4 linked regions of the Lepisosteus oculatus genome follow. The protein of the gene in region 3 interacts with the protein of the main gene of each other region in a pairwise test. Links are inferred from orthologs where the notes say so. Each region holds a gene or a part of one and is shown on either strand. Other genes may lie near its edges. The genes, in order: grb10b, ptpn11a, igf1ra and shc1.

The links.
Region 1: the proteins of igf1ra (region 3) and grb10b interact in a two-hybrid assay, tested with the Homo sapiens proteins (4 studies listed by BioGRID and IntAct). The link is inferred for Lepisosteus oculatus from reciprocal best matches to the Homo sapiens genes IGF1R and GRB10.
Region 2: the proteins of igf1ra (region 3) and ptpn11a interact in binary tests that used the Homo sapiens proteins (3 or more experiments, as listed by UniProt). The link is inferred for Lepisosteus oculatus from reciprocal best matches to the Homo sapiens genes IGF1R and PTPN11.
Region 4: the proteins of igf1ra (region 3) and shc1 interact in a two-hybrid assay, tested with the Homo sapiens proteins (4 studies listed by BioGRID and IntAct). The link is inferred for Lepisosteus oculatus from reciprocal best matches to the Homo sapiens genes IGF1R and SHC1.

What each region holds. Positions count from the first base shown.
Region 1 is NC_090705.1:43,180,240-43,188,205, forward strand, and holds the start of grb10b (growth factor receptor-bound protein 10), read right to left. Parts: upstream 3,011-7,966; 5' UTR 2,934-3,010; intron 2,566-2,933; exon of another isoform or gene 2,336-2,565; intron 1-2,335.
Region 2 is NC_090717.1:11,295,390-11,302,871, reverse strand, and holds the start of ptpn11a (tyrosine-protein phosphatase non-receptor type 11), read left to right. Parts: upstream 1-4,472; 5' UTR 4,473-4,769; coding exon 4,770-4,783; intron 4,784-7,482. Other genes in the region: rpl6 (large ribosomal subunit protein eL6), read right to left, coding at 378-533. UniProt on the Homo sapiens protein: Acts downstream of various receptor and cytoplasmic protein tyrosine kinases to participate in the signal transduction from the cell surface to the nucleus. Positively regulates MAPK signal transduction pathway. Dephosphorylates GAB1, ARHGAP35 and EGFR.
Region 3 is NC_090700.1:54,514,363-54,522,327, forward strand, and holds the start of igf1ra (insulin-like growth factor 1 receptor), read right to left. Parts: upstream 3,014-7,965; 5' UTR 1,886-3,013; coding exon 1,792-1,885; intron 1-1,791. UniProt on the Homo sapiens protein: Receptor tyrosine kinase which mediates actions of insulin-like growth factor 1 (IGF1). Binds IGF1 with high affinity and IGF2 and insulin (INS) with a lower affinity. The activated IGF1R is involved in cell growth and survival control.
Region 4 is NC_090722.1:5,526,816-5,533,656, reverse strand, and holds the start of shc1 (SHC-transforming protein 1), read right to left. Parts: upstream 3,021-6,841; 5' UTR 1-3,020. UniProt on the Homo sapiens protein: Signaling adapter that couples activated growth factor receptors to signaling pathways. Participates in a signaling cascade initiated by activated KIT and KITLG/SCF.

The sequences.
Region 1 (7,966 bases), on a different chromosome or scaffold from region 3:
AACTAAAAGGCATTTCATTCTGGATGGAGGAGAGGAAATGTTTCTTTACTTTGCGAGTCTTTGGAACAGGCTTCCCAGCCAGGTGGTTGAAGGCCAAACTCTGGGCACTCTTAATAAAAACAGCTGGAGGAAATTTTATTTTCACTTAGCAACTAGAACTACCCAACGAGCACAGTGGAACAAACAGCCTCCCCCAGCCTTAATGCTCTAATTGCTCGTAGGTGCTGCCAATCCGTGGAATGGGGAGACAAAAGGTGACCTACACGAGAGACTGGAATGGGGTTCTCCAGATCCCTGTTGGAGGGACCCTGCAGTACATCAACCCACCATCTACAGAAGGCACTAAAAACAAAACTATATTGTGCACATTTTTTCCTGAATCTACTAAAAGGAAAGAACATTCAGATTCTACAAATAGGCTTCTGTGCAGATTCCCGAGACGTAGGTAAGGCTTCATGCCTGGAGTGACAGACCTGGTATGTAAAGGGAACTCTTGTAACAACCAGAACCCATTTGTCCGTCTTTGTCCACACATCACCCTATACTGACTCTTTCGATACAGATGCCATAACGCAATTCCTAAAAAGGACCAATCCAAAACAGAAGGGCCATCCAAAGGATCAGGATACAAAAATTAGCTAGATCACCACTTCACAAAGCCTATAAAAGCACAAAATATCCTCTTCATGGGAAACACACATTTAAAGCCTTATTATCTGCTGCTCAAGTGTGAAATGATGACATTTGAAGTATAGCACCCTTAGCAAACCCCTTTATCTTTCAGGACTGCGTCTGAAGGGTTTAGGTATTAGCCCCAAGTTACCTCATACACTGTACAGTAGTTTCACATTTGTGGTTCTAACTGCAACTTCTTTCAAACAAACACCACTAGATAAACAATTAGGACCATTCCCAACCCCAAAACACAATCGCTAATATTTCAATGTTTAAACCTGTTTATTTTAACTTTGTTCTAGCACTGCCCAAAATAACATCGATTGCACCTTAAGAAGTGCTGGAATATAATGCATAGTTAAATTGAAATCGTGTGAACCTTTACCAATTGAGCATTTAGTAAAACCAATATTTTACTAAATACGGAAATCAATATAATTATAAAGTCTAAAAGGAACAAAATGGCAGCATTAAAGTGAATGCAGTCTGTGTAGCCTGCATTATGCGCGCTTTAACTTCAGAATCCAGTTATTATCCAAGACCTCGTTGGTATTTACACAGGAGTGTAATACAGTCTTGTGTAAACTGAAACCGACAGTCTCTATGCCTTTGTCCACTTCTGCAGTGCCAGCTGCGAGATGTGTCAGAACACGCTTTGCTTTAAAAAATCTTAACGGTGGATGTTTTTCACTACATTAACATAATGCCCTCGGTGGGGATGAGGTCGATGTTGCAACTACAGTCGTGATTACCGCTGTACTACTGCAGAGTGCACGTAGAATTCTGCTGATTCAGCAACGCCAAAGTAAACATCACTTTTCGCCAAATAATACAAGTGCCTTATAGGAAATGTAAAAGCGGAATTATTTACTCCTTCGACGATACAAATTAAGTTTATTTTGTAAATGTTTCAAATACGCCTTTGAATGCGCAAAGCTATAGAACGTAGCGCAGTAACAAAACGCAATCCATGTGTTAAAAGACTTTGGCTTGCCCGTTTCAATAATGCAAAGCTCTGAAAAGCGTCTTACCCCACCCCCAAACTCAACGCTAAACGAAGATCTGCTTAAAAGTTACCGAACCACTCCAAAAATATTGTATTTAAAGTCTTGAACCAAACTTGGTATTAAACTCGACTGGGGATTCGTTTAAACGCCACACTTACTACGTGCTATATATTGTCGCACGCCGATTTTTCTTTCCGCAAAGGGATTTGAAATGTGTATATAAACCCGCTTGACGCGACCATGGCTTCCAAGTCTCCAAAACAGCGCGGACAAATCTTGGATTCTTTAGCTTTCTCAATTCGACGTTAACATTTGCAACCCAACTCATCCAGAAGCTCGATTTAACAACTCAGACCACTTGGTGCAAATCCTGATTTTCTGTGCCACACCGCAAAAGCGAGGACACTCCTGCTTTAAACTTAGGCTGGAAACTGTCGCGACTGACATTAATACAGTGTTGGGGGGGACAGCTGACTTCTCCCTTTACCGAGTAGCGACCGGAGCAGCTCGCACCCCAGCGCACCCACCCACCCAGCCTCGCATCTCCGGGCACTCAGCTCTTCACAAACTTTGTTCGCTACACAGCGGGGGAGTCGCTGCAGCGCACCGGAGCAACAAAAATACCACAAGCTGCTTAATCTCAAGAGACCTACCTTCAAGCCAGAGCCCTCCCAAAGAAAATAACGGCTGCGAGCCAGGGAAGGGTCGACTTTTAACGCAACTTCAGCCGCAGAGCTCACCAACGCGAAGTCGCTGCTCAGCGGAGCTCTCCTCTCTCGGTCTCCCCAGCGCACAACATCCCCCGTCCAAAACGGGCAGTTTTTCACGGGCTGCAGGCTCAGCTGACTCCCCCAGCACACGCGAGAAAACCCCACCCACCTGCCCCGCAGACACCTCCCCCTCCTCCACGCACAGCCGCCGGCGAAGCGCAGGCACCACCTTCGGGGGGGACTCGGGCTGCTTAACCCGTTAACCGTGCGCAACCGATCTGCGCACCGGGCGCCCCAAACCGTGTACCCCCACCCTCCCCGCTGCTTCTCGCCTTCCTGTTGGTCTTCCCGGCCCTTCACTGCGATGACTCGGGATACAGAAATCTTCCTCCTCCCCAGAGTGTGGAAAATAAAGTGCGTCTTTTGTGTTTTCTATTCTGTAGAAGACCTACACTTTTTTTGAAAAAAAAAAATACTTCTGCCCCGGCATCTTTGCGCAGACAAGTTAAATCTATACCCCGCCTACTAAAGGGGTACACACCCGTGCTTTTAACTGCCTAGGTACCCTCCCGGCTCCTGACGAATCCATACAGCAACATGGGAAAGGATCGTGAAAGACAGGAGCTCTTTAAATGTGTACTGTTTTTTTTTTCAGTCAGGTATTGCAACACCATCCCGGACTCCTTGCGTTGACGTAATTTATGAGCCGCTCACTCCCACACTTTCAGGGGTAGAGGCATCCACGTGATATTTATCCCTTGTATCGTCCATTTGTTGAAAAGCTAAGGAAGGTGCTTTAGAAATCATAAAACTGTTTTGTTATATTCTACTACATCGAATTGCATGGAAAAAAACATGCTGTTTCTGATTGCAATAATTTGCCCCGTTACACCAAATATTTCCTCCAAAGTTAATTCACACACATATACAGTACATATACTTTGCATTTGACTCTAGAGAAGCCCTTTCGTCTAAGGCGGTTTTAAAACCTTACTTTAAACGGTTGCACCTGAAATAAGCCACTCATACAAAAATAATAAAAAGATACGGCACTGTTTATGTGTTTGCCTTAGCTGCACCCAAATGTACTCAAATATACCTCTGTTATGTACAGTAACAGCTAGAACAAGCAGCAGATTTAAAGTGCAGGTGTAAACGACTAAATAATCAAAATGTGCTAAAATTTATGAAAACCTACTGAATACTGCATATCAGTAGCATAAATGTAAAAATAATACCTTTCTACATATACAATGTTCAAATCTATTCATATCATAGCCAGGGAATATGTTGAACTGCTGTAAATGCAGTCCTCTGTTATTGTAGTCTTCTGTCAGGTTCACAAAGCCTTGCAAAGTTTACACAAGTTCCTGGAAGACTTCTTGATTGCCTCTGTTTATTAGTGAGAGTTACAAAACTTCAGTTACAAAAAAACATCTGGAAGACATCTCAGTTTCAGCTGTGGTGTCTATCTCCAAGATGTTCAAGCCTAATGGCAGCTTCCTCACAAGGAACAGGACATGAGAAAGTGCTGCCCAAATGTACAGTACCTTCAGAGATGGTATTTGGAAATATAACTCCCTCCAAAGGCCAGCAAATGGGAATCTTCAAAATACTCTGGAAACTCTTCAAGACTTCCATTCGGGGCTGACCTCATGAATTCGTTGTCTGCGGTTGAGTTCCATGGTAACATGGTTCCATGGAACAAAAAGGAAAGAAATGAATTTGCCAAGCAGCAAACGTGTGAATTGGAAATGAAGTGACTGCACAGAACAGTTTTTGGACAGTCCCACCAGGAGTATGATTAGCAGAGAAAAGTGAAACCCATGTTGAGAAAGAATCATTCCCCTGTGGTGAACCAAATTGATTTTTCTTCTTAGCTTTAGGGTTGTTTGAGTCCTGGAGTTCTAGCTGACAAAGATGAATAGACAGACAGTAAACTCTACCAGCATATATTGTATGAGCCAAATACTAGTGCCTACTATTAGCTCATGCTTGGTCATCAAATAGGGTTCCATCAGAAAAATAAATAAATAAGGGGAGATTTTAGGACTGAGGAGGCCATTTTGCATTCTACAGTAGGTGTAGGAAAGTACCGGAAATTCAGTCTTTAATAAATCCATCCATCTATTTACCAGAATGAACACCTTTCTAGGAGTCAAGAGCAGTTAGCTTTACGTACAGGAAAAAGAATTAGAAGTCACTGAACAATTCCAATTCTGCTGCAGTGTTGTTATTGGACAAACAGTTACTTCATACACATACCTGCAATTCACTGCATTTATTTCTCACGTTAACAGGTGCTCAAGACCAAAAAGGATGTATACAGAAATAGTGTTGCAACTATGTGATAACAACAAAAAAAACAAACAATTACCTGCAGGAATGTAAAACCCTAACAAAGCACAATTCCTCTCAATCAGCCTGGAGAAATCAGACATATTTATAAACGTAAGAAAATGTAAGCAGGTTAATTGAATGCAGATCATAAGAGGTACTGTTTAAACTGAGATTTATAGCCAGTTATGCATTTCATCTTTGTAAACCAACAGCAAGAGCAGGTACTTTTTTTCCTAAAGTGGTAATCTGTAATTTTCTTCTTTTCCAATAGAGAGATTTCATTATTAAGAATTATTAACTCTACAAACTGTCATGCTTTGATCATTCATTTTCTTTGTTTGGTCGTAGTTTTCCATGGTTTATCTTTATGTTTCACCGTGGTTTTACTGCGGTTTTAACACACTTTAGTTTGGTTTTACCACGGTATACAGTAAAATCTGATTGGTTGAATGTGACCAATGGAATTATTTCTATAGATGTGTTTACATTTACCTTTTTGATATAGTTTTTTTTCAATTACAGTATATATGAAATTGTTTTTCACATCTGGTCGCCTTTCATCCCTGCATGTGAGAAATTAGAAACTAGTCGGAGGAATAATGCAAAAACAACCAGAGATCTGTGTATCTGGCCAACATGGGAAGAACCAATCATGGCTCATGATTCTTCAGTGTAGAAGGTTAATTGCCTGAAACTTTTCCCAGCTGAGCAGAAAGTGGCACTGCCATATGGGCTCATATTTATAGGAAATCTTCTGCACATGGTTATAGGGTATTATACATTTTTTCGTACATACTTTATACGAGTATGATGATTTACCAGATTAGTTATAATCTCTGTACAGTATATAAACAGTACCTAAGTGTGCATTTGGCATATACATAGATAGATAACACATGCTGTTTACTTTCTGAAAATGAAAGTTATAGATAATATCCTGACTGACCCAAAAGACCCCTTGCATGTCATAAAAAGAAAGTCAACCTTCAGCATAATCAAAATACATTCTAAGAATATATATAATTTCATATTTCTTTTTGATCATTAGAATGAGATGCAGAGAGAGGTGGCCTTGTGAGAACGCCACCATCTTGGTTCAGATCTCAGGCCCTGTGTTGTGGCCTTGAGCCAAGATGGCCACCTGTTACTTCTGGAGAAACTGCAGAACAAGGCATACCATTTGATATGTTAATGTGTTAATTTCCTCTTTGTATACTCCCTCCTCTGATTAATTTGAGTAAAATTGTGCCTGGTGTGAGATGAATACAGTATGTGAGCTTTTTGCAACCTAACCACAAGAAAAAAGGGCTAACCTTCATCAGTCCTCTCATTAGAATACAGCATCCATCCTAATACAGACTGTAGACTGTAAATTCACGCACAGCCTGATGTGTGCCAGACAGGGCTAATTTATGTTAGTCCGTATTCATCTGAGCATGTCCAGAGATTACAGCTCACAGGAGCAAGCCTTCATAATGATTTTTCAGCACTGCAGGTGCTCCACGGGCCCTCAGTGAGCACATTCAATGGTGGAGCTGATTGGGGTCCATCTGTAAGAAAGTTTAAAGCATGAGAAAAACCTGTTGATGACCCGGGACATCAATGGCAGTTTTAATTCTTGATTTTTAATTGTTTTATTGACTTTCATAGAGAGATTTTGCTTTGTTGCATCCTTTTTTTATATTCACTACTTTGCACGTTGTTAAAATTCATGTGTGCTGTACTGTCCCTTGTAATAAAGATATGATTTTATGCATTATCTCTTTCAGCAGCATTCCCTTCACTTCACTCACCATCATTGTCAGTGAGCAATAAAATATATAGAGCTCTGAAACATACAGATATATGCATAAATGTTTGGCAGTGAGGGTGGTAATTCAGTCTATAGTCTATTTTCTACAAAATATTGAGTTCATTTTAAGCGTTTTATATGTCAAAGGATATATTGAAAATTTGCTATGTTTTATGTGTTAACTAAACTCACAGTGGCATGTCTTTAGTCCTACATGGAGGATTATTTTTTAGTTTTGAAATTGTGAAATGTCTAGCCCCTGATATTACAAATGAAGTATGTATGGTACAAGTATGTAGACAATGCTAAACGAAAAAAGTAAAATGAAAATTATAAAGGGACATTATGTGCTTGTGTGCAGTGGTGTGTGCCAACTCTTTGTCATTCACATTGTGGTGCTGCTCACCGGTATTTAAAAGGCTGAGTGCAATATCAAAGCTGGGATCAATTACTGAATTTCTCCATCAATGTCCCACTCCACCCTGTAGGCCTGAGACTGAAAAATGACAGGCTAGAGATGGCCTTTCCTGAGGAGATACTGTACAGTATGTGAGCAGAGAAGGAGGGACACAGCTAATCACAATATTGAAAGTGATCATTGTGGTGGAGATCCAGAGCAATTAAAACACCCTAATGCTTTAGTGAAAAAGATTTCTATTATTTTCATACTGACATGAACAAAGCGTTTTTTCTTATTTTGTTATCATGACTGTGACAGGTACTGTATATATAATAGTCTAATGCAGAGAGCCTTCAGGCCTCAAAGAAAAATATTTATTTTTCTAAAACCTTTCTTTCAATTACAAGTTACTTGGCCAGTACTGGGGAAGAGTCCATTTTAATGGCTGTAGCCAGTTTTCAGCAGTTTGACCAGTGATGATTCATCAGTGACAGTCAAGCCTCAATCTGTAATCAGGAAGCTACCAGGAAGTGGCCTATAACTAATGATAATGATAGCAGCACTGTCGGGAAATGTCTGTGTCACTATTTGTATCAACAGTGATGATCAATATTTTTTTTTAAAAAGCTGGTTTAAAGCATAAGCAAAAAATGACTTTTGAAATGTAACAGCAAAACAACATTTTAGTGCACATCCACTTGGCAGCAGGCTATGATAGCAATGAATTGCATTACAAATTTGATACTGCAATGTATCCAATTAACTCAAGATGGATCCACAAAGACACAATTGGACATAGGTGCCTGCATTAACCCCTTAAACCTGGTTTAAAAACTTGCACAAAAATGAATCTCTTGACAAAAAAACAGAAAAGGGGTTAAATAAGTGTTGACTGTGCCAGGAAACTTTAAATAAATGAATACTGCATTGGCTAATGAGAAATATAAATAATACTGATCAAGAAAATGACTGTGTGTATATATAGCCAATTTCACCTCCTTCATGTGGTATAACTCAAACCTACGTTCAGCGATAAAATGTC
Region 2 (7,482 bases), on a different chromosome or scaffold from region 3:
GGTTCGTATCCTGCTGCCGGCAGAGGAATCCTACTCTGTTGGGCCCCTGAGGAAGGCCCTTAACCCCAGCTGCTCCAGGGGTGCTGTATAAATGGCTGACCCTACGCTCTGACCCCCAGCTTTTCTCCCTGTCTGTGTGTCTCATGGAGAGCAAGCTGAAAAGAAATTCCCAATACAAGAAATTGTATACGGCCAATAAAGCGATCTCATCTTTCTTGCATATTGCTTAATACCCCTGACATACTGTTGTTTAGGAACGATGTTGCTTATACACAGTTTGCATTATGGATGCATCACATGGTCAAGACTGCCACCAATGTCTCCCACAGTCTAAAGGCACAGGATGCACCCCGAGGGGCGAGTGGACGGGCGCTGACCTTGGTCTCCGTGGTCTTGGTCTTGCGCTTGTACAGGGCCCTCCTCTCGTACATGGCGCTGCGGGAGAACCTCCTCAGGCCCCGCGCCAGCAGCGGATTGCGGCACGTGTGGTGCAGCTTCTTCTTCGCCACCTTCTTCTTCTTGTCTTCTGCCATCTGACGGAAAGGGGGGGGGGGTTCAGATTCAATCCACTACAGCCACACTGCTACATGCATGAGCAAAACGGGTCTATTTTCTAACCCAGGGCAACAGTGCGACAGGTCCTGAGACACTCAAAGTACCGAAGGCAGGCTTGTCAATGAGTCGATTAGCTGGATGGCTAAGAGTAAGGTCAGAATGAAAACCTAGACAACGCCCCCCACCATTCAACGAGCCGGGTTCAAGCCATCCGCCAAAAACCACCCAGGCAGCAGGAGTGCGGCTTGGATTAGCCGTGTCCGCAACGCAACCGCATGAGCGCCAAGATACATCATCTCAAGGGTAAAACCTACTGCAATGCATTGTTTACTGTAAGAATTCTAGCTCTAGTTCAAAGCGAAAATGCTTTCAGGCTCCACGATAAAAAAAACCCGCCTCATGTCAGAACACCGGTCTAGTTCATCAGCGTCTCCAAATCGGTACGACGCTTGGTTTCAGCAGTTTGATCGAAACGAGGGCAGGAAAAATAAAACAAGTTATCACGCAAGCCTCTGAAAAACAATTCGCAAGGTACTCCTGATAACGATTTAGGAGCACTCACGAATCTGACGCAGGGAAGGCAGGCAGGCAGGCAGCCCGGGCGCAGGCCGCCGCCGCTACCAGAGACACACGGGAACCGGCCCGCTCCACGACGGCCTCCCCACTCGAGTCCGTGAGGAAACACTAACGGGATCACGCGGGTTTCCGAAAGTGTGGCGTTATTCTCACATTTCTAACCCGCTGATGAACGCGGGTCCGTGTGGGGTATTCGCTAGCTTGACACATGCAAAACACACACCAGCAGCCAGACCAAGACCCGTCCCCGGTAACCTGGATCCGGCTGTTTTACAGCAAATTAAACATAAAACAACCGCCTCCGAAACGTGTTCTAGACGATATGCTACTAATGTCTGCATCTACTTGTAACCCTGACAGTAACTCGTTCTAGTGGTTTAAGAATATTTCTGCACCGTGTCCCAAGTACTATAACGGCAGGCCTATACTTTCAGTACACAACAGCAAATTACACCATCAAAAACCTAACCAGACGACACCATTCCCAGAAAAGGTTATTCTTAAACATGTTAGCTTTCTGTGAAGTAAGGGATTTGGGGGCCCTTTTGAGTAACTTTAAAAGATTGTCACGGATTTTAATTCAGCAATTCAAGCACCGAGGAGCCATTCTTACCTTAGCTCACTAGAAAAGGATCGACATCCGGGTCATTCACGATTAAAAATGCGCCGTTGAATGACGTCACACGCACGGTAGGTCGCAAAGCTTGCTGGACATAGTAGTTTCCCATGGGTATGAAGCCAATTTTCTTTTTCACAAGATGTTTCAATTGTCCTACGAAATTACCTATATGTTTATTTCATATGAATCGATATTATAATGATACAAAATGTAGGATCCTCAAGAATTATTCCTTTGACTTTATTTTATTTATCATTTGAAATATCCAAAGCTCTTTCGAACAAAATTAATTATAATTATAATAATTGCTTACACTTTAATAGCGCTTTTCTGGACACTCGACTCAAAGCGCTTTACAGGTAATGGGGACACCCCTCCACCACCACAAATGTGCAGCATCCACCTGAATGCTGCACATTGAAGCCAATTCATTGATGGGGATTATTAGGAGGCCATAATTGGTAAGGGCCAATGGGAAATTTGGCCAGGATGCCGGGGTTACACACCCTGGGATTTTTAATGACCACAGAGAGTCAGGACCTCGGTTTTAAGTCTCATCCGAAGGACGACACCTGTTTACAGTATAGTGTCCCCGTCACTATACTGGGGCATTAGGACCCACATGGACTGCAAGACAATGAGATTAAAAAATAAACTGTGCAAAATGAGGTATTTAAACTAAGATAATTGGTTGACAATAACTCCATGAATTCGTTAAGAATTTGCCCAGGGCAAAAAGCAGGGGACACAGCAGTTCCCTGGGGCAGGAATGAGAGCCCCTTCTTCAGAGTGGGGTTCACACCCCTCTCCTGAAGGCTGTATTCCTGCAGATCTTCACTGCAACACAATGGTTCTAATTCAGCTAATTCACATTGATCTAATATTGTCTTAACTGGAGCCGCACAACAATCCCTGCCAGCATGTTGGGTGCTAGTGATTTAAAAAGATCCTTACAACCCACAGAAATGGGGATCCCTAACCTTGGAGCAACACTGTCTTCTGGATTCCTTATCACAGACTAAGTGATTTTAGTTTTCTATTAGGGGTATATCTGTAAATTTGCTTTCAGCTCCTAAAAGGTCAAATGGAATTTGTGATTGGTATCAACACTGTACCAGTCTCTGAAATTCAGAACTGTCCTCATTCAGGTCTGCATATAGCCAAATGGGTCTCTGCAGCAGGACAAAAATGCTGATTGTGGGAGTGTGTGACAGTGTCACCCCCACCTGTGTCTGCTCACCACCAGCTGATCAACTGGTACAAACAGTTCAGAGAAATTCTGTGCTGTGCTGTGCTGTGCTGTGCTGAAAAGCATGAGACTAATCAAGGAATCAAAGAGCCAGAATAAGGGAGGCAAATTTAGCATTAATGAAACCTTTATGCACAACCTTTTTGACATGTGAAATGTTTTTGCTGGATGTATTAAGTAAAGCCCTGAAATCTCAACAACCTTGCTGCAAGAGTGGAGTACAGTAAAAAGCCGCTGGAACTCTGGAGAACTGAGCCAAAAAAGTCTGTGTCTCACCTTGGCTTTCTGATGAGCTGTGGAATCAGCACTCAGGCATCAAGGCCAAGACATAATAAGAGAACTGGCAGAAGCTCAGCACAACCACCTTGTCTGGAACTACTATGGTTGGCATCCTCTGATATGCCAAAGGAGTACTGCTCATCGATTCCATGCAGCGCAGACCTATATAATCAATAGCCATTGTAATGCTGACAGGCTGGCATGACAGCCTAAAGCCATCTTCAAAAATATCTGCTGCTACTAGACGTTCCAGCAGTTCACAAGCCCAGAGCTGTACGGAACACAGTTCACCTGCGCTGTTGTTTAACATCTGAATCACTGATCAAACAGTCCGATCTTGGCCCTAAGCAACCATGAACAGCATGGATCTAGTGAAGGACAAAGAAGCGAAACAGTAGAAGAGGTTTAAATGTATTTCCTAACCCACGTATATACTGTATACCAGTTACCACATTGCAATATGTTTTTAGACTGATTACACCCTCATTATCATTCATAAATTAAAAGGTGGCAGCTCAGAATAGTCAAAATGGATTACTCTGAGTTGTTTAACAAATCCATATCATATTGTAATAATTGATGTCCTGACTCATTTTTAGTAATAGAGTCCTTTTATGTGTATTGTATTTTTTTTACTGATCATAACTTTGGGGTATTGTGTATATGAGAAATGTTTGGGTCCAACACCACTTGGTAGTTGTGGATGTGTGCAGCAATAAAATAAGATCTGGAAAAAGAAAGAATTTGACCATATCTTGCCAGCATTGTATGATCTGTACACATCAGGGCAACATAATAAGGCAACAATAAAATGACAGTAGGTCTAAATGGGTCAAAGAAAAAGCATTATAAAGTATTTTTCAAAATACAATTACAATTTTATATAGTATTTACATAAATTATATTTACCTTAACCGCTGACATGAGTTTTATTTTATTTCAAACATTATTTCTAACTTGATTGTATAAACACATATGCTTCCAGTTCAATACAGACATTTTAAGTTCTGCAGTTTTCACTGATTGGTAATATTAGTTTATTTGTTCGATGAAAAAAAATGAATTTTATCTTACAAATTTTAATTAAATACCTGCAATTAATTATTTAATTAGATATTTTGGACGATAAATAATCTCTACTTGTTCTTGCCATAATCCAAAATGGCGAATGTAGCCTCAGAGCATGTCCCGCCCCCACAGTGCGTCTGTGTCTTGTCTAGTGACGTCTTATCTCCGAGTCCTGCCGTAGGCAGAGTCTTGCTGGTGAGGCCTAGGGGTTTTCATTTGGTATTTTGTAATAAATTTTGATCCGTGCCATCACCAGCCCGACCGTTTGTCTCTGAACCCGGGCTGAGCCAGGTTCATGGCCTGTTGGGCGCTGGTCTGACTTCTCCGTGGGGGAAAAAAATAAAACGGCTAGATTGCGCGACTGAAAATAACGAGGAAATCAAATTGAGGAACCAGCACTTGAAGAAGTAACGAAAAAAAAAGATGACATCTCGGAGGTAGGTTGTAAAAACTCTGCTTCAGCGAATGTCTGGCTTCCAAAATGTATTTTGGTAACGGTGCCTTGATCATTTTTGCCTCCTATACTATTGTCTCGTTTTCTTTTAATGTGATGACCGTCTTTCAAACAAAAAGATTAAGTCATTGACGGTCTGTATCTTCGGAAGAAATTCCAGATATGACTTGTTTTGTCAGAATTATACATCGGGATCAGCATTTTTTTCAGCACACTCGATAGCATGCACTTCTGTCCTTTTGATTAAAAAGTAAAAATATTGTTTGCACGGCAAGGTTGTGCATATGAATCGTTTATGAACGTCGTACTAGTTGAAATGAGCGTTTTCTAAGAACACCAGGCTCTGTTTTGAAAAGATTTCTAAATTTGATTTAAACCCGGAGAGAAAGTTCTATACAACAGCCGCGCTTTAAAGACCTGACGTGTCGAAATTAAATTGTTTTACGTTGTGCTCCGAAAACGAACAATTTTAGCTCATGTTCTGAAGACCGAGAATGAAAACAAACCGTTTTTCACTACTTTTCTTTAGTTTATGTAATTTCCATAATTAATGTAACCTGGGATCTGCCTTTCCCAAGAAGACGGTTTTATTTTTATTTTTCCAATCTTTTAATGCACACTTGTTATTCACGGGCTGTCGTGTAGTATAGGGGTTTTCATCATTGCCCGTACCGTCCCGAGCCCCCAGAGACCCGTGTGAGCAATCCGAGTTGCACTAATCGGGCCAATCATTTAATCAATCCATTAAACTGTCCCATTAGAAATACCCCCAGCCCCCTTAGAGGAGCAGTGCTGGCCAAGAGCACAAAAAATGCAGTCCACTGGTGTGCTGTGTGTAAAACTCTTCTGCCCCTGAACAAGCCTCCTCATTTCCACATTTCGGCGTGGAATTAACTTTTGTTCGGTTAATTGCTTTTCTCTGCCAGGCATCAAAATAGTTTTCTGCACAGTTATATTGGAAAATGCTTTATATCATCATAGAAAGCACATCTCAAGTTCAGTCTGCGTGGTCTTCTTGTGGCTCTATAAATGTCCAGGGTTACTTGATGCGTTTGATGCTAACTGTAAAATTAAGTCTCATTTTGAGACGCGGTAACTTCTGATCTTCAGTTCCTAAAGGCAATTTCATTTTCACTACTTAAGCAGGAAATCTTCCAGTAAGCAATCTAGTATTCTTGAGTTACACTGTCAAAAGGCCTGATCCATTGTACCCTAATGTTTTTTTTGGTGGCTTGTATTTTAATAATCCAGGAATCGCATGTAGTCCCTTCTTGGAGACTTTTGAGTCAAAACATCAACAACCGGAGTTTCAGCATCTTGCAGAGATCTAGATAATCTTTCCAATTCCTAAGTGCTCTATTCAATACAGGGTTGTGGGAAGGATATACCAGGACCCAAGTCCATTTGGGTATACTCACACGAGGGCCAGTTAACCTATCGGTATGTCTTTGGGCTCTAGATGGAAACAGGAGCACCCTGAAGAAACCCACAAGAGCACAAGGAGAACATACAATGTAATGAAAATAGCTAAGACAGATTTTGGATTTGATTTGATTGCTAAATTGAAAATAGGCCCTATCTTAGATACAGACATAGAGATCTAATATATAGCCTTGTAGGTATTACAGTTGCTTTCCTGGTCCTGGCACTGGTGCTACAACCCTATCAGTTGAAAGACAAAAATACTAGTTTCATTTTTCTAACAAGTAAACTGCTTGCCACTTGAAAAGTGTAATTTGATGAAACTCCACGAACAGTGAAAACGTTCTGTGAACAATGTGCACATTTCTGCAGAATGAGTTCTGCTGCTGCTTAGGTCTGACATTAATGGTCAGTTTGAAATTAATGGCAGGAAATGAGGCTTTTTTTAACTAAAGTACAAGCTCTTTAATGTGGGGTTTGTTTAACCTGTTGCGGAGGGATTCTATGGTATCAAGTGGAGTTTGTGCTCTAGTATCTATCACACTCGCGTAGTTGTTAACACAGAAGAATGCAGAGGAGCAGCGCGTGCTGTGTTGTCAGGCAAAGTCATGTCGTTCTTTCGTTCATTCATGTCTCAGTTTGTGCTAAGTGTGGGTTTCACGGTGTGAAAAGATGATAGTATAAGTGTGGACATCAGTGCTGTGTGAGAGGGGAAGAACTGTGCCGACTGTTCAGTTAGGCTGCAGTTCCTGCTTGGTGTAAAGAAGTGTGCGTTCTAACTGCGTGTGAATCGAGCTCTTCTGTATTCTTCACATCAGGCTGCAGTGTTGTGGTTCAATGAGTCTTTCCCATTAAGATGTATTTAACCAAAATGATGTTTTTAAAAGGTAGAGCAAATGAAAGTAGTAAGAATTGTCAGATGTTATGCGAAATAGTAAATCATCTTCGTGTAGTTGTACATGACACTCAAAGCATTTTAATCTTTTTTTTTTTGTTTACCACGGTACTTTGGTTTTCTTGGGGGGCAGGCAGGAGATGTTTGCTGCTGCTGTTGGTTAGGAATTTTCAGTTGGACTATATATAATCAGACTAGGCACAAGGTACAGTATAGGCAAAAGTAAGCCAATGTTCTTCTGTAGTTGGGCAGTGCTTCACATCTGGGGGACTCCAATCCTGTCTTTGGACATGCAGATGTAAGATTGCGGGTTCGGATACCAGGTGGGGATCCGCTGTCGCACTTCTGAGCCAAGTACTCAGCTC
Region 3 (7,965 bases):
TCTCCCGTTCGCCACAGCCGTAACATCTGTCAGCGACTGTCAAAATACATCTATTAATTATTAAAATACATCTCAAGCGACGACGGTCGCCCTGGTGCGGGCGCACACGGGCGCTGGAACATGTGCAGAAGAAAAGTCGCACCACGCCACAGGATGTGCATTATAATAACAACAACAACAATCATCATAAAAAATAGTGCGAACACTGGAGCGCGGTAGTAATTTCGGCAGTGCTCGCACGCGCACACGGCGTGCCTCCGCGGGGCGCGTGCGGTCCGGATGCGCGCGGCCACATGGCCAGCCCGAGCACCTTCTCTCCTCGGGGACCGGAAGCCGTGTCCCCGCGCCGCCACGCGCCGCCCGGGGCCCCTCTTGCACCTGATGTCCGCGAGCGTCCTGTCCAGCACGAGGATACTCCCCCCACCACACACACACATATATATATATTCCACGCTGCACACCGCGCGCCCATCGAACCTCTGCCCTGTAGTTCGTGCAAACATGCGACTTTTTTAAATCAGCCTGCGAATAAAACTGGAAACCTTGCACACACGCCGAGCACCCCTCTGTGCGTTCATGCAAATAATCCCCCCCAAAAAAATTCTACTAAATCCTACAATATATATAATTGTCTAGCATTAAAATGTACAACCGAAAAAGCAAGCAACGAAACGTGTTATTTTTAAAACAATTTCAATGTTCAATGCCAGTCAGAAAATCAAATTAAGAACTTACGGCTGGTCTTCGCAAGAGTTCATGTCCTGTTACTATTTCTAAGAAGAAAATCAGTCAGAAATAACTTCAATTGTTTGCCCAGAAAATTGAAAATGATCTGGCATCTAACCGTGCAAGTAAAATGGTTTACTGGGCAGAAAAGCGCACATGTCGGGCTGGACGAGGCTGACCGGGGCTGTCATTCACACCTCCCGAAACGAGCGAAAAATCTGTCGCAAAACTTTCCATGTAAGAGCAAAATTACTAAGGGGACAAGATAAAATCAGAAAAGTGTAGCTGGTCGATTAACCCATCAAACGCCTGGTTAACTGACTAAAATTAAAACAAATACAACCTTGAAAATATATAATTACACACGAAATTAACTCGAAATGTCACTGGCATTTACTAAAAAAAAATAACATGCAGAATAAATTAGGACGGATTATTTTTTAAACTGAGAACATAAATATGAAAATGTAATCCCGGTAGTTGAAATCAGTCGTAATATACAAAACGCAACGGGTAGACCATTTTGCTAAAACACGGGTGCCTCGTTATGAAGATGTTAAATTGAGGTTATCTCCAAACGCTTGCTAAACATTTGTATATTCACTTTTAAGAATATCAACCGAATGACACTCTATACTGAACATAGACTGTAATTGTAAACAACGTTCACAGTATCCTTTAAAATAAGTTTTATTCTGTGAACTATTCAAACTGATTGAAGTCCAACTTGCACCTCACCTGTTCAAACTTCAACGCTTCACCTCGTATTAAATCATTACCAGTTGTTCCTTACTGTTGAACCCAGTGCTAACCTACATATTAAAATCTCCCTGAAGTGTCTAGCTAGCTAGTTATAAATGAAAAGGCGATAAAGAGAAGTTAACTTCGGGGTCAAACTTCACACTACGTTTTTTTTAAGTAAAAGCTAGCAAACAGCACGTAAACGAGCTAACCACAACAACAAGAAGACGCTTTCAAAAACGTTATACATTTTCCATTTACGATTAATGCATTAGACGAAAGAACGGGATTTTGTAACTGGAAAATAAAAACTTGTGTACTTACTTTCTCCATTAGCCGGCCATAGGGAGATCACGGAGATAGACAGCAACAGACCCCAAAACAAGGTCAAAATATCCCTTTCTGTCCCAGACCTCATTCCTCTTGAGAAAATTCCCCCCCCCAAAAAAAAATAAAAATAAAAAAGTGTTTCAAAATGCCCCGTCACAAACCAAAAAAACAACCCTAAAACAAGAAAACGCTTCTCAGTTTCCGAGAAGCAGGCTTTGAAGCAAATTCTCCTTATTGTTGACTCCTGGTAGGAAGAACGGGAGAATTAAAAAAAAAACTTAAATCCTTGCTTTTTTAAGGTGATCGCTCGTGTCCTGTGGTCTTTATTTATCTTCTCCAAACGAACTCACACACACACCAAAAAAAAATTGGAGATGGAAAAGGCTTTGTTAGGCTTGCCAACAATACAACGCATGAAAGATTGCTAACGAAACACGCGAGTCGCAGCTTTCGCTCGGCTGATAGTCCGCATCCTCAGCCTCCATTTCTTGAAAGACCACGGAGAGGGGAGACGCACACTTCGCTCGCTCGCCAGACAAAACAACAGAAAAATACAACAACAACAACAAGCAGAAGAAGAAGCAGCCGCGCTGTCTTGTCGTGCCCCTCCGGTTTATCTGTTTCTCCCCCCAATTACAATTTGCAAGATCCGCCAGACGCGGGGAAGACCCTCCCGAGGCCGGGCTCCGGGTTTCGGCGAGAAACGCAGGGGGGGACAAAATGAATGAAAATACAACTCCTTCTCTCGCCGAGTCTGTCTGTCTCTCTCTCCCTCCCCCTTTCTCCTCTCTCTCTCTCTACGGCTTGAGCTCCATCCAAAATATCCGTCAGGACAAAAATGGTTCACCAACTGTACCCCCTCCCCCTGTCCCTCTCCCTCTCTCCTTCCTTCTTTCTCTCTCGCCCGCTCCGTCTTTTCTGTGACTTGCGGTGGATGTATCTATCCCTTTCTCCCACGCTGAAAAGGAACAGAGATTGAAAAAGGTCTCCGTCGAAATTTGCAAATGCAGCGGCACGCCGTCGTATTGTTGTTGGGGTTTTTTTTCTTTCTTCTTCTTCTTCTCCTCCTTCCTTCTTTCTCTGAACCGGGGGAGAGAAAGCTGAAGGTGAAGCGGTCTACTTTCCCGTGGCTACGGTCTCACCCGTCTCCACTGTCTGTGTCTGCCTGCTGGAATCAGCGCTGTAAACAAGTCGCCTGCTCTCACACAGACACACACACATACGCTAACTAGAGCAGACGGGAAAAGCTGGCATGGAGTTTCCCCGTCTGGCCACTCCGCTCCACGCCGAAAGAAACTGGTTTTCCTTCGGATGTTGTTTTCCTCTGATCTTTTTTTTTCTTCTTTTTGGGTTTGCATCGACAGTATTTCTTTTATCTCGGCCCAGTCAAACGCGGAGTTATCAGAAAACCTCCGGGACAGATAAATCACGGAGTTAGCGTTGGTATTTGTCTACAGCCCCGTGGCTGTTTTCGCTGCCAACCAATTTTAAATGTAAATCGGGAAGAATGAATGGTGTTAACCAAGCATACTAAAAAGAGTTTTACCGCATTGTATGCAGTTGTGCAACGTGCTCAGGGGAGTGCAGTGACAGATACATACTGTACATGTGCTCACAGCACAACTAAATAGCTTTCTGATGCAGCAAAAAACAACACAATTTTATGATTATTACACACAGCCCAGAACGACCAAAGTTTTTACTTTTCACTTCCACTTTATTCAGGTTTTGATCACAAGCTCCCACATAAACCCAGACGTTTGATTTATGTGATTCATTGCACTTAAATAAACCAGTCATTATAACGAAATATTTTGGAAAAGAGTATGTTGCTATTACTCTTTGCACTCATGGAAAACACCTTTTTAAGTCATAGCAAAAGCATGCAAAGTTTTAAACAACAGTGTTACTCAATAGGAGATGTCAGTTTGAGCCAGACGTTAAACACAGATCGCCGGCTTTGCAGACAAGATGATTGGGGCATCACCAGTCTGCCTCGCACAAGGTAGCATCCAGCAAACTAGAGGCAATGAATATATCACACTGCCTGCGCAGCTGCCAGCGATAACGCTGTAAGGAATAAGAAAGAATAACCTGTCACCAGTCTATATGTTTCAAGGCTTGACTTCACCGCAGATTCTGCACCACACAGAGTGAATGGAGACCAGCAAGCCCGGTCCTGGCATGTGCTTCTTCCACCTGTCTCTCCACATGCTGACCGGTGCCTGACAGGAGAGCTGGTGCCCACTGAGGTCAAGAGGTAGCATTTCAATAACCTGATCAAGGGGGAGAGGTGGCGTGATTGGAATAGCAAACCTGTCCTTGTCTTCTGGGCATATCCATAGGAGTGGGCAAGGTTAGGGTTGGACCTGCTCCTGAGCTCTTGTTTTAAACTCCACTTACCTTGTGTACACAATGGTGTCACAGAATGATTTGCGGGAGATATGTTGTTTACAGGTTACATCACCCTAATGTAACTTTCCTTGGTAAAACATGTTTCGGTGTACAACTGATCACATGACCGTCTAGAGCCAGGTTTCTGCCTGGAGCAATAACGACCAGTCTCTGCCGTAACACTGCCCATTGAAGTGTCTTCTAGCGTCGGGACAGTTTTGACCCTCAGCAGCCCTCAGAGGCCTCAGAGCGATGGTCCTTGGTACCTCAAAAGTGGAGAAGCACTGGTTTAGATTACATCCATCATCGTATTTAATAACATCTTTATTTGATCCAGTTAACACTGTTCAACTGCATAATATTGCATGGACACAGCAAGAAGTATGACAAGCGAAAGAAGGAATTTGTAAAGAGTAACTCCTTCTGGAATAGCAAGAACAGAGCAGACCAGCTCTGAAGGGCTGCAATCCGGGAGGTATTACAGGTCCCCCTGAATCAGAAAGTTTTAAATCCTTGGAAGAATTTCATTTTGTCCAAGTAAGCAGGTGATTTATGCAATTACTGGAGGTAGTTTAGAGGTCATTTGAAAAGAAAATCCCCCAACCCTGCTGCTTTCAAGTACCACAGCTGGCACATTTGTGACTTGACCGAACAAATTAACTTACGAAATCGAAAACTCACGTCTGCTCCACGTCTTTACAAACTGCCGATGCAAGAGCCACCTACAATATAACACCTGTTGGACTGGCCACCTCTGGTCACCCCTGTCATAGCAGATGTTACAGGATGAAGGAGCTGAGCAGTGGAGATGGAGGATTGAACAGGACAGTATCTGTGCTCGACCAGATGACTGACAACCGTCCGTGTAACATTGTCATGTAACCAAACTGTGTCATTGTACAGTTTGTTGACCTCAATTGAAGCAGCCAATTCTCAGTCCTTCATGAGTAGAGGTGAAGCACAGCCTCCAAGCTTTCAGCGTAGCACAAACTGGACACGTGCAGGGTCAGTGGCAGTAGCTGTGTGGTTGTTGCTGAGCCGAGTGTTTTCTACGATGTCGAGCGCGTGCTCCTGAGTCAGCGCCCTCGCCCGGATCAGCCCTGGAGCAGCCACTTGACAATGAGCCGGCTCTCCCGGCACTCCGAGCATGTCTGCACTACGTCTTCGCCCCAAACAACAGAGTATTTCACACAGCACCTTTCAGTAATCACGTATAGCTTACTCCATTTCCATTCTTCACCAAGATGGCCAGCTCTTGCAATCATATATATACTAGTAAGCTTCTAAAGTTTTATATTTGGCTATACATGATATGTTTGTAAGTGTGAAAAAAATTCAAGGGTATTGCAATGTAATATTCAATGTAATGAATAATAAGAAATGACAGGTTAACTGACTTTGGTATGGGTAACAGAATCCTGCCTCAAACATAGGAAAGATTCTGAAGAAGCAATTTGGTTGCTAGTAGCTAATTGATGGAAGCATCTCACCCAGCTGTGTTGTGAAATACAGTGAGAGAAGTCCTCAGTGCCTTGATTCAGACTATAGGCACCTGATTTCGTTTGCCTGAACTGGTTGGTTGCACGCACTTTGTGCTTTTAGATGATATTCACTGGAGAAATGTAATACATAGTTTAGGTGTGATTGCCAGCACTATTACCATCCACCTGAACAATCAGTCCATCAGCAACTAAAACTCCAAATCCCCTTGCAACGGTCTGTGTGAAGAGAATTATTGCGATTCACATGTACTTGACGGATACACGTCAAATATCTAGATGAATATATGTGAAACAGTGCACACAATCATCAGACAAGCATGAAACAGTTAAAACAGGAGCATCAATGCGGAAACAATTATGTGTCAATTTCTATTATCATAATCACAGATTTGAATGGGAGGCTAAATACAGCTTAAGCTTTTGAATTAAAAGCTGAATATGACTCATGAGGTACCTGATGGTGATATCGGTGTTATTTACAGTTCTCTCTCTGCTGTCAGGGGGAATGAGAGTTTTGTTTGTGTAGATGAAGGGCACTTCTGCAGGGCTTATAACTCTTGCTCTTTTTATCTCCAACAGAATTTAGACATCACGTTTGCCTGGAGATTGTGCAGACCGCCAGCCCCCCAGACAGACAGATACAGTAGATGGTCAGACAAAAAAAGGGATTTTTACTGTAGTTCAAAATGATTTTTTAAAATGAAAGAGGTGGTAACAACCTATAAATGTGAGTTAAGAGTTTAACTTTAAATGCCAGTATTTTATCATACTATGCAAGAGTAAGTAGGAAGCAGACATTTTTGTTGCTTGCAGTTGTGTCCCACTGCACATTTTGTTTTTCATCTCAGCCTCCACTCACCATTGACATTTAGCACTGTTTGCGGTCCCTGTAAATGCTGACAAGAGGAATCATTTCAACAAACTTTAAAAAAGGTGATCCTATTATATGGACTCAAAAAGTCTGAATGCAGTCTCCAGTTGTGGACTGTAGTCTCCACTAAAATGCACCTTTGTAGCCAAAATTTATTTAGCACCTTTGGATGTCAGGAAACAAGGCATTCCACAGTGGGCTTACGTCCTTTCATCATTCAGCTTTCTTAGGCTTCTTTCATCCTCCTGATACTCTTGATTCTTCTTCAGCAGATTAAAGGCTTTTGTAAAGTTCAACATGGTTGTAATGTTAAACACTTAACTTTCAAAAACAGAGTGCAAAAAACATTTTATTATGAAAAGGGGACAATACATATTGGAGAACCTTCTTATTAGTCGCTGGTCCCCATCGCAAGAACATATCGAAGGCACAAACCAGAGGAGTCCATTTCGGCCATGTGCTAGCGAGTAGCTAATTGATCCCAGCATCCCATTCAGCTGTTTACTGAAACAAGCCAGGTTATCGGCTTTGGCAACATGGCTGGCAGGCCTGTTCCAGACTCCCACACCCCTCATGTCAGAACCATCCTGGAAAACAGCAGCTCACCCACTGGTGACATGGGGATGACAGAGAAGGCAGTGGCTCTGATATAGCAGGCAAATTCTAACTGGGGGGGGGGGTCGACAAAATTAAACACGCATATTCATGTGCAATTTCATGCAGAAATGTGCAGTAACATGTCATCCTTCCACAGCTGAAGTATTTTCTCTGCAGATCAGGACAGCTAGCCCTGATAAAGAACCACTACAACAATCCCTGTAATATTCTCTAATAACCATAATTACCTTTGGTAAGTAATGGTATACCACAGTTTACTCTGCAAAAGTCCTACAGAATTTACTTCCACTAAGTGCTGTAGGATTGGGCGATGATGATAACAGTTAAAGAACTCTACCATAGTAAACTCCAAAATAGTGCAGAAAGCCATGATCAACACCATTGCAAACTATAATAATAAAATAATAATAATAATAATAATTGCTTACACTTATATAGCGCTTATCATAATGGACATGGGCTTACTTTACTGCAATATTTGCAGTAGGACACTTGAGGCTTTCCCACAGTGGTATTTCACCTGAGAGGCATGCCTGAGGTAGGTAATTAATGAAAACTCTGAAGCTATTTTATGAGCATATGAATCAGGAACACCCTATCATATGAGAGGCTGTAGCCCAACAGAATACTTACTGTAGGTAACACCTCCTGCAGTACCCGCTCGCTGAACTCACCTAGCCTGCTCTAGAGGCACCATTCTGGTGAAGGTTTGGCAAACAAAATCTCTGTTGTCATGTTGGTTGGAATAGAAGCTCAATTATGGGGCAAAATCCAGCAAGCCAG
Region 4 (6,841 bases), on a different chromosome or scaffold from region 3:
CCTATGCACAGAAAATTTAATGTTGTACGTTTCAGGAGCACACAGAGAGAATAGTTGTAGAAAATAACTTTGACTGAGTACGTGAACTTTCTTTATTATAACTGTATTATCACAGCATTTTTTTTTTTATCAGGTGGAGCTCAGATTCGTGCCAAGAAGGGAGTTTTTATGAACTTCCCCTGTACTGAAACTCACATTCCCCTCTGTTGAGAACGTTCCCAGTTTGGAAATTTGCCTTTTGTCAGAAAAGTTTTGGTGTGACTTGCAGTAGCGAGTGTGGAGAAACAAAACAAACCACCTGAAGTAATAGGAGAGGTATTGACTCATCTGGGAATATGATCAGACACTAGCAATCCCGATATGAGCGACAGCCTGCCATGACTCAGCGCAAATGCCTAAGAAGGTGGGCTTCACTGTGAGTCAGCGATGGCCATTTCGACACACCGGAGTTCACAAGAAATGTTTTCACCTCCCCTGGAGCAGGAAAAAAAGGTCCTTCCAGCAAACGCCAGTCAGAGAACTGCAAGATCCGAGACGAGAGGGGAACAAGCCGCAATTCAATGTTATCAGGAGGGCAGGACCAACGCAGGGCAGGGACACTACTGAAAACAGAAATTTCGACAGCTCACAGGGGAGCTGGCTTGTTAGGGAAGTGCTTTAGCGCTGCAAGGCGCTATATAACCCCATGCCGTCACCGCGGACAGCTTTCCTTGGCCAGCGGATGGTACCGTCGAACGCTCTTGCCCTTGTGGGTCTGCGCCCCTGTCACTCTCCAGAGAGACCCGCGTGGGGCGTCACCATGCAATCCAGCACCGTACAGGGCTACCCGACGGCAGTCCAACTCGCCAGCACGCCGGAGCGGCTCTCGAGGGGTCCCGTTTTAGGAACGGCACAACCTACCCGTGCATTCGCAGCGAGAGAGAGAGGGGCCTACAGCCTCTCTACTGCGACCGTGAGGGTCAGGTTACAGCCGGAACACCTAGAGCCGGTCAGCACAACCTGGCTACTTCCAGGCCAACAGTGGCAGATCCATAGGCAGACATGGGCTCCACACCGCTGCGCCTTTTTACAACAGGCAACATTACAGCTAATTAATATTAATGACACGGCTGATCACTGTCAGGATATGCGGCCGGGCCTGTGCCATTAAAAACCAGCTCCTTCCGGATTTTCCAGAACAGGACAGCTGCGGACACGAAACAAACAGTGGGATTCAAACCCCTAGGAGCAGAGGAGAAGCCATTCCCACAAATCCCAGTAATGTTAATCGGGAAATAACAGCTAGTAGAACAGCAATCACAGATTCACAACATTAAGGATCCATAATGCTCAATCACAATGAACATTATGGATACTACATCCAACAACTCCTTCAACACCATTGCTACCAAAAAAAACTTTGCAAAATTCCCAGCACGCTGATGGAGTGCAGCTCTCTCACAGTTTTCACCCCCTGGCCTGCTCAAGCAGATGGGAGATTCTCAGTTTAGCTGCAGATTAAATTTTCCTTTCAAATTCCGACTGGCAATCCACGGTTTTTCTTTTATTCCCCTTTCTTCCGTCTTCTCTCCTTCTCGTCCGCTGGCAGGTGCGGACAGGGAGCAAATCCCAGTATCCTCCCCTTCCGTCCAGGAAAACGTGAGCTCCCGTGAAAACTCCTGGAGTTGCTTCCAAAGCGGGCTTCCTCCTGGAAGCCGGCCGTGAGGAAAAACAGGCGGAGGAGACACAAGGCAAGATTCCTTTTCCCGCACTTCCGAACTCCTTCCCCCTTTATTCCTTTTATCCTCTTCCTGAAGTCAGAACGGATAACAGGGCAGCCGGACAAACCTTCCACCTCCTCTTTTCCACCCGGCTCCAGCTCTTGATGCTACATCACCGGGCCCTCGATTTCCCCGGGCGTCTATATGCAGTTTTTCCCCCCTGCTCCCTGGTTTTTGGGGCCTCCCCCCCCCCAATGCACCCCCACCCCCTCTTCTCTTCAGCACAGCCAGGCTCAGCCGGCCAGATCGATGCTGGCAGAGCACAAAGCCGTCAACGGAGGTGGGAAAAAAAAAGGAGACGAGCAAACAGCAAACGCGAGCCGGGCACGGAGATGGAAACTGCTCCTTATAGAAACGAGTCCTTCTGTCTCCGGTGAGGAGCAGGTCTCTCCCCCTCGGTCTCCTCCTCGCCGTCCTGGAGGCGTGTCCTCTCGGAGAGGCACGCGCACACACACACAGGGACACAGACGCTCCCTCTCTCTCTCTCCCCGCTGCCCGTCTTGAAAGCACAGGCGTGCACAGACACACACAGGAAGGAGGGAGGGAGGGAGCACGTGTTTGAAAAGAGACAGGGAAACACAGCGAGCTCGCCCCACCCCCATCGCCATCCACTCCTCCCCTGTAACCTGACTACACTTCCACTCTGTCCCAGATGGGAGGGGTAATAAACAGACATTGACTGGCTGACCAGCTGCACACAGCACTTCCTACATTAACAGCGAGCCGTTCGAGAGCCCTGAGAGGGTCTAATGCACATAAAATGACTGCCCACTCCTGCCTGGCAGAGAGTGAGAGAGGGGTTAATACAGACACACTGACTGACTGGACACTCCAGTACATTAACACTGCACTGAGACAGAGGGGTTAATACACACACACTGACTGGACACTCCAGTACATTAACACTGCACTGAGAGAGAGGGGTTCATACAGACACACTGACTGGACACTCCAGTACATTAACACTGCACTGAGAGAGAGGGGTTCATACAGACACACTGACTGACTGGACACTCCAGTACATTAACACTGCACTGAGAGAGAGGGGTTCATACAGACACACTGACTGGACACTCCAGTACATTAACACTGCACTGAGAGAGAGGGGTTCATACAGACACACTGACTGACTGGACACTCCAGTACATTAACACTGCACTGAGAGAGAGGGGTTAATACAGACACACTGACTGGACACTCCAGTACATTAACACTGCACTGAGAGAGAGGGGTTCATACAGACACACTGACTGGACACTCCAGTACATGAACACTGCACTGAGAGAGAGGGGTTCATACAGACACACTGACTGGACACTCCAGTACATTAACACTGCACTGAGAGAGAGGGGTTCATACAGACACACTGACTGGACACTCCAGTACATTAACACTGCACTGAGAGAGAGAGGGGTTCATACAGACACACTGACTGGACACTCCAGTACATTAACACTGCACTGAGAGAGAGGGGTTCATACAGACACACTGACTGGACACTCCAGTACATTAACACTGCACTGAGAGAGAGAGGGGTTCATACAGACACACTGACTGACTGGACACTCCAGTACATGAACACTGCACTGAGAGAGAGAGGGGTTAATACAGACACACTGACTGGACACTCCAGTACATGAACACTGCACTGAGAGAGAGGGGTTCATACTGACACACTGACTGACTGGACACTCCAGTACATTAACACTGCACTGAGAGAGGGGTTCATACAGACACACTGACTGGACACTCCAGTACATGAACACTGCACTGAGAGAGAGGGGTTCATACTGACACACTGACTGACTGGACACTCCAGTACATTAACACTGCACTGAGAGAGGGGTTCATACAGACACACTGACTGGACACTCCAGTACATTAACACTGCACTGAGAGAGAGGGGTTCATACAGACACACTGACTGACTGGACACTCCAGTACATTAACACTGCACTGAGAGAGAGGGGGGGGGTATCGTATATACAGCAATGGGCGAAGTGCGGGGCAGAGAGCAAAGGAAATCAGGCAGACGACGGGCTGGCCCTAGACAGGGAGTGCCAGCGAGACACAGACCAAGCGCCCCTCCTTCTCTCCCGAGTCCAAAGTCCTCCTTCCTGACGGGTTTCTGCCCCTCGCTGCTCCACGGACATGATCCTCGGAAACTCGGCTTGCACTCCTATCGGGAGTCTGTCCGGTCAGGGTCCTGATCGTCTGCAGCAGGGGTCTCCAGCCCTGGCCACGGACAGCTCCCGTCCAGTAGGGTTTATAAATAACTACGCCACCCACTTCTGCAGCCCCGGAGAGTTTCAGTGGCGATCAGTTCAGCAGGTGCTGTGCTAAGTGATCTAGGGACCCTTTGTAGCTCAAATTTGAAGACCCTTACACCCAGCTTCCTTAGCTGAACACATTTCTTGCTTAACTGAAGAATAACTTGGGAAGTCTAAATAAAAAAGCTGTTTTTATAGCTTGAGAAGCTGTAAAAAAAAAAAAAAACAGAAGATTCAAGGTGCCCTGCTGGGGTTTGGAGACCCCTCAATTTATGGGGGCCAGGGTGGGGAGGAGGAACTTCCTGCCTTGTTAATGAGGGGTCACGACACTTTCAGGCATCCGTGCTCGCCCACGTCAGGCCCTGCGCAGCGACGCACACGGGACAGGGAGCCTTTCAGAAGCTGGATTCAGTTCTGAATCATTCAGCGGCTGCTGAAGTGCTTGGAAACCAGCTGCAATCAGGCATTTCTCAAGGGGTGAACATATTCCAAATCACATTTTCCGCACCCTGATTGCTGTTCTGATTAGTACAAGGTGCAGTAGGAGCAGCAGCAGGAGTGTTAGTACGCAATGTTAGGAGCAGACAAGCACACACTGCTTTGGTATGTTCTACGGAGAAGCCAGGGACATAAAGCATAAATGTGCGCAAAGGAATCAAACTAAAAACCGAGGAGCTGGGAATGACTATACTAACATAGTACAGGAGTGCGTAGTACTGCCGATTCACAAAATCCCTCACCTGAGGCAGATGAAGTAGTGCAGGAGAAGTTTAGTTCAAGAGAAAAGAGAATTAATTTTCTCTGCAAACTAGCATTTACAATAGGGCTCAGTTCCTGGAGGGCCTGGTCTCTTTGCTTCCATCGGAGTAGATGAATAACAATTATTTTCCACACAGGACATTTTTCTACAACGACAACGACTTGGCCAGGGCTACCTAACCCTCCAATTCGCTCCGCTCCACGACTTCGACATAACCGGCTCTTTCATTCCGATATCGATCCTGCATAACCGAGGGGCTGGCAGCAGCTAAGCTGTGAAATGGAGATGGAGCGGACTGGAGGGGCCGCAGGTTGAATAGTACTGGACTACCGAATTAATGAAGCTCATTCCCATCCACGTGGAAGTCAACGTCATCCACGGGCCTGTATGTGAAAGAGGAACCTGTCACTTGTCAACATATAATATACCCTTATGGCCACATTTCACTAAATTAACGGCTGCCATTCCAAGGTCTCTGGAGCCGGTAACCCCATGACAACAGACAGCTCTCCAAGGAATCCCCAATTCACTCCTTAAGGGCAACAGTCCAAAATGCCTCCTAAATCCTCAAAATAAGATGGCTCGTTCTTCAGATGCTTTCACACAGAATGGCAATGACGTCTGTAGAGAGATAAATCGAGAGCCACTTCTGGGTGCTGGACCTTTGCTTGAGGGAACGACAGCCGACTTGACCCTACGGCCAGGTGTCCAGAGCCTCAGACCACCACGCCAGGCTGTCGGCCACAAGACAACAGCAACTGACCACCAGCACGCAGAGTGGTCTAAATGAGCCTTCTTAAGGCCTAATCCATCCCATTTAACTGCTCCCCCCTCCCACCCACTTAAAGAAATCAGCAGCTGTGGACGACCTAAGAGGACCTACAAACCCAGCCGGAGTGGACTTGAAGGAGCCCTGGGCTACAGCTATACACTGCTGTGTTGGTGCCTGCTCCCCGTTGTGCTTTGGGTTGTGCCATCCGTCTCAACACGGCACGGCCCTGGGTAATCGCCGGGTCTCAAACCCAGATCCTGGAGGTCCAGGGTCTCCTGGCTGCTGTTCCAGCTATTAGTCGAATAATTGTTAGTCCCGAGACGCTCCACAGGTGACTGTGCCCTTAAGGAAGCGAACGTTTTGAGAGATCAGCTGCGACCCCAGATCTCTAACTGGCCCCCCCTGGCGGGAGCAGAGATCCAGCCCTCCAGGAGCCGAGCCCGAGACCCCTGGCGTAAGTGAACAGAGGGACAGAAGAGCTCAGAGAGACGACGGGCTCCACCACCCCCACAGCGGACAGCACCCCTCCACCTTCAGCCCGTGCCCGACCTCCACCAGGTGCACCAGAGCTCTTACCACATAGTCCATCCGGCCGCGCCGTCCCCAGGCCCTGGCAGCCGAGACCTGCGGCCACCAAAAACAACCACAGCGCCGTCAGACCGGGACACCGCGCCGCGCCCCGTCCCGGTTGATCGGCGACTGGCTGGGTCCGGGGGGGGGGGGGGGGGGAGGCGGCCACGCGAATCCAGCAAGACGGAGAAGCCGAGCGCTGCAGACCCGGCGTCTCCCATCGCGGTGCTGGAGGGTCTTCTCCCAGCCCCGCTCTGAACCAGCCCCATCAGCCCCTCGCTGGCCTAATGAGACCAGTTCAACAGCCTCAGGCGATACCGCGTTAGAGGGACCGAGAAGAGCCCACAGACGCACCAGCCCCATCCAGGAACCAGGACTGGACACCGCTGTCCACGGTAACTGCGATGGACAGGTGACCTCTGGGCCATCACAATCCCTGTGGCCGGGATCAGATTTCTCCAAAATAGAAAAAAAGGAACAAGCTGAGGGACGGTATATCTCTCCCTGGGACAGGCGAGAGGCTGAGGGACAAACAGATCTCTCACTGGGACAGGCGAGAGGCTGAGGGACAAACAGAGCCTGCAGGTGTGTTCAGGGGCTGCTGAAAATTTCCAGCACTGAAAACGGGCAGATCAGACTCTACTCTGTTGACTCACGTAGACCGACAGGTACACAGAAGAACACAAGGAAAACTAAAGAGAAAGTCACA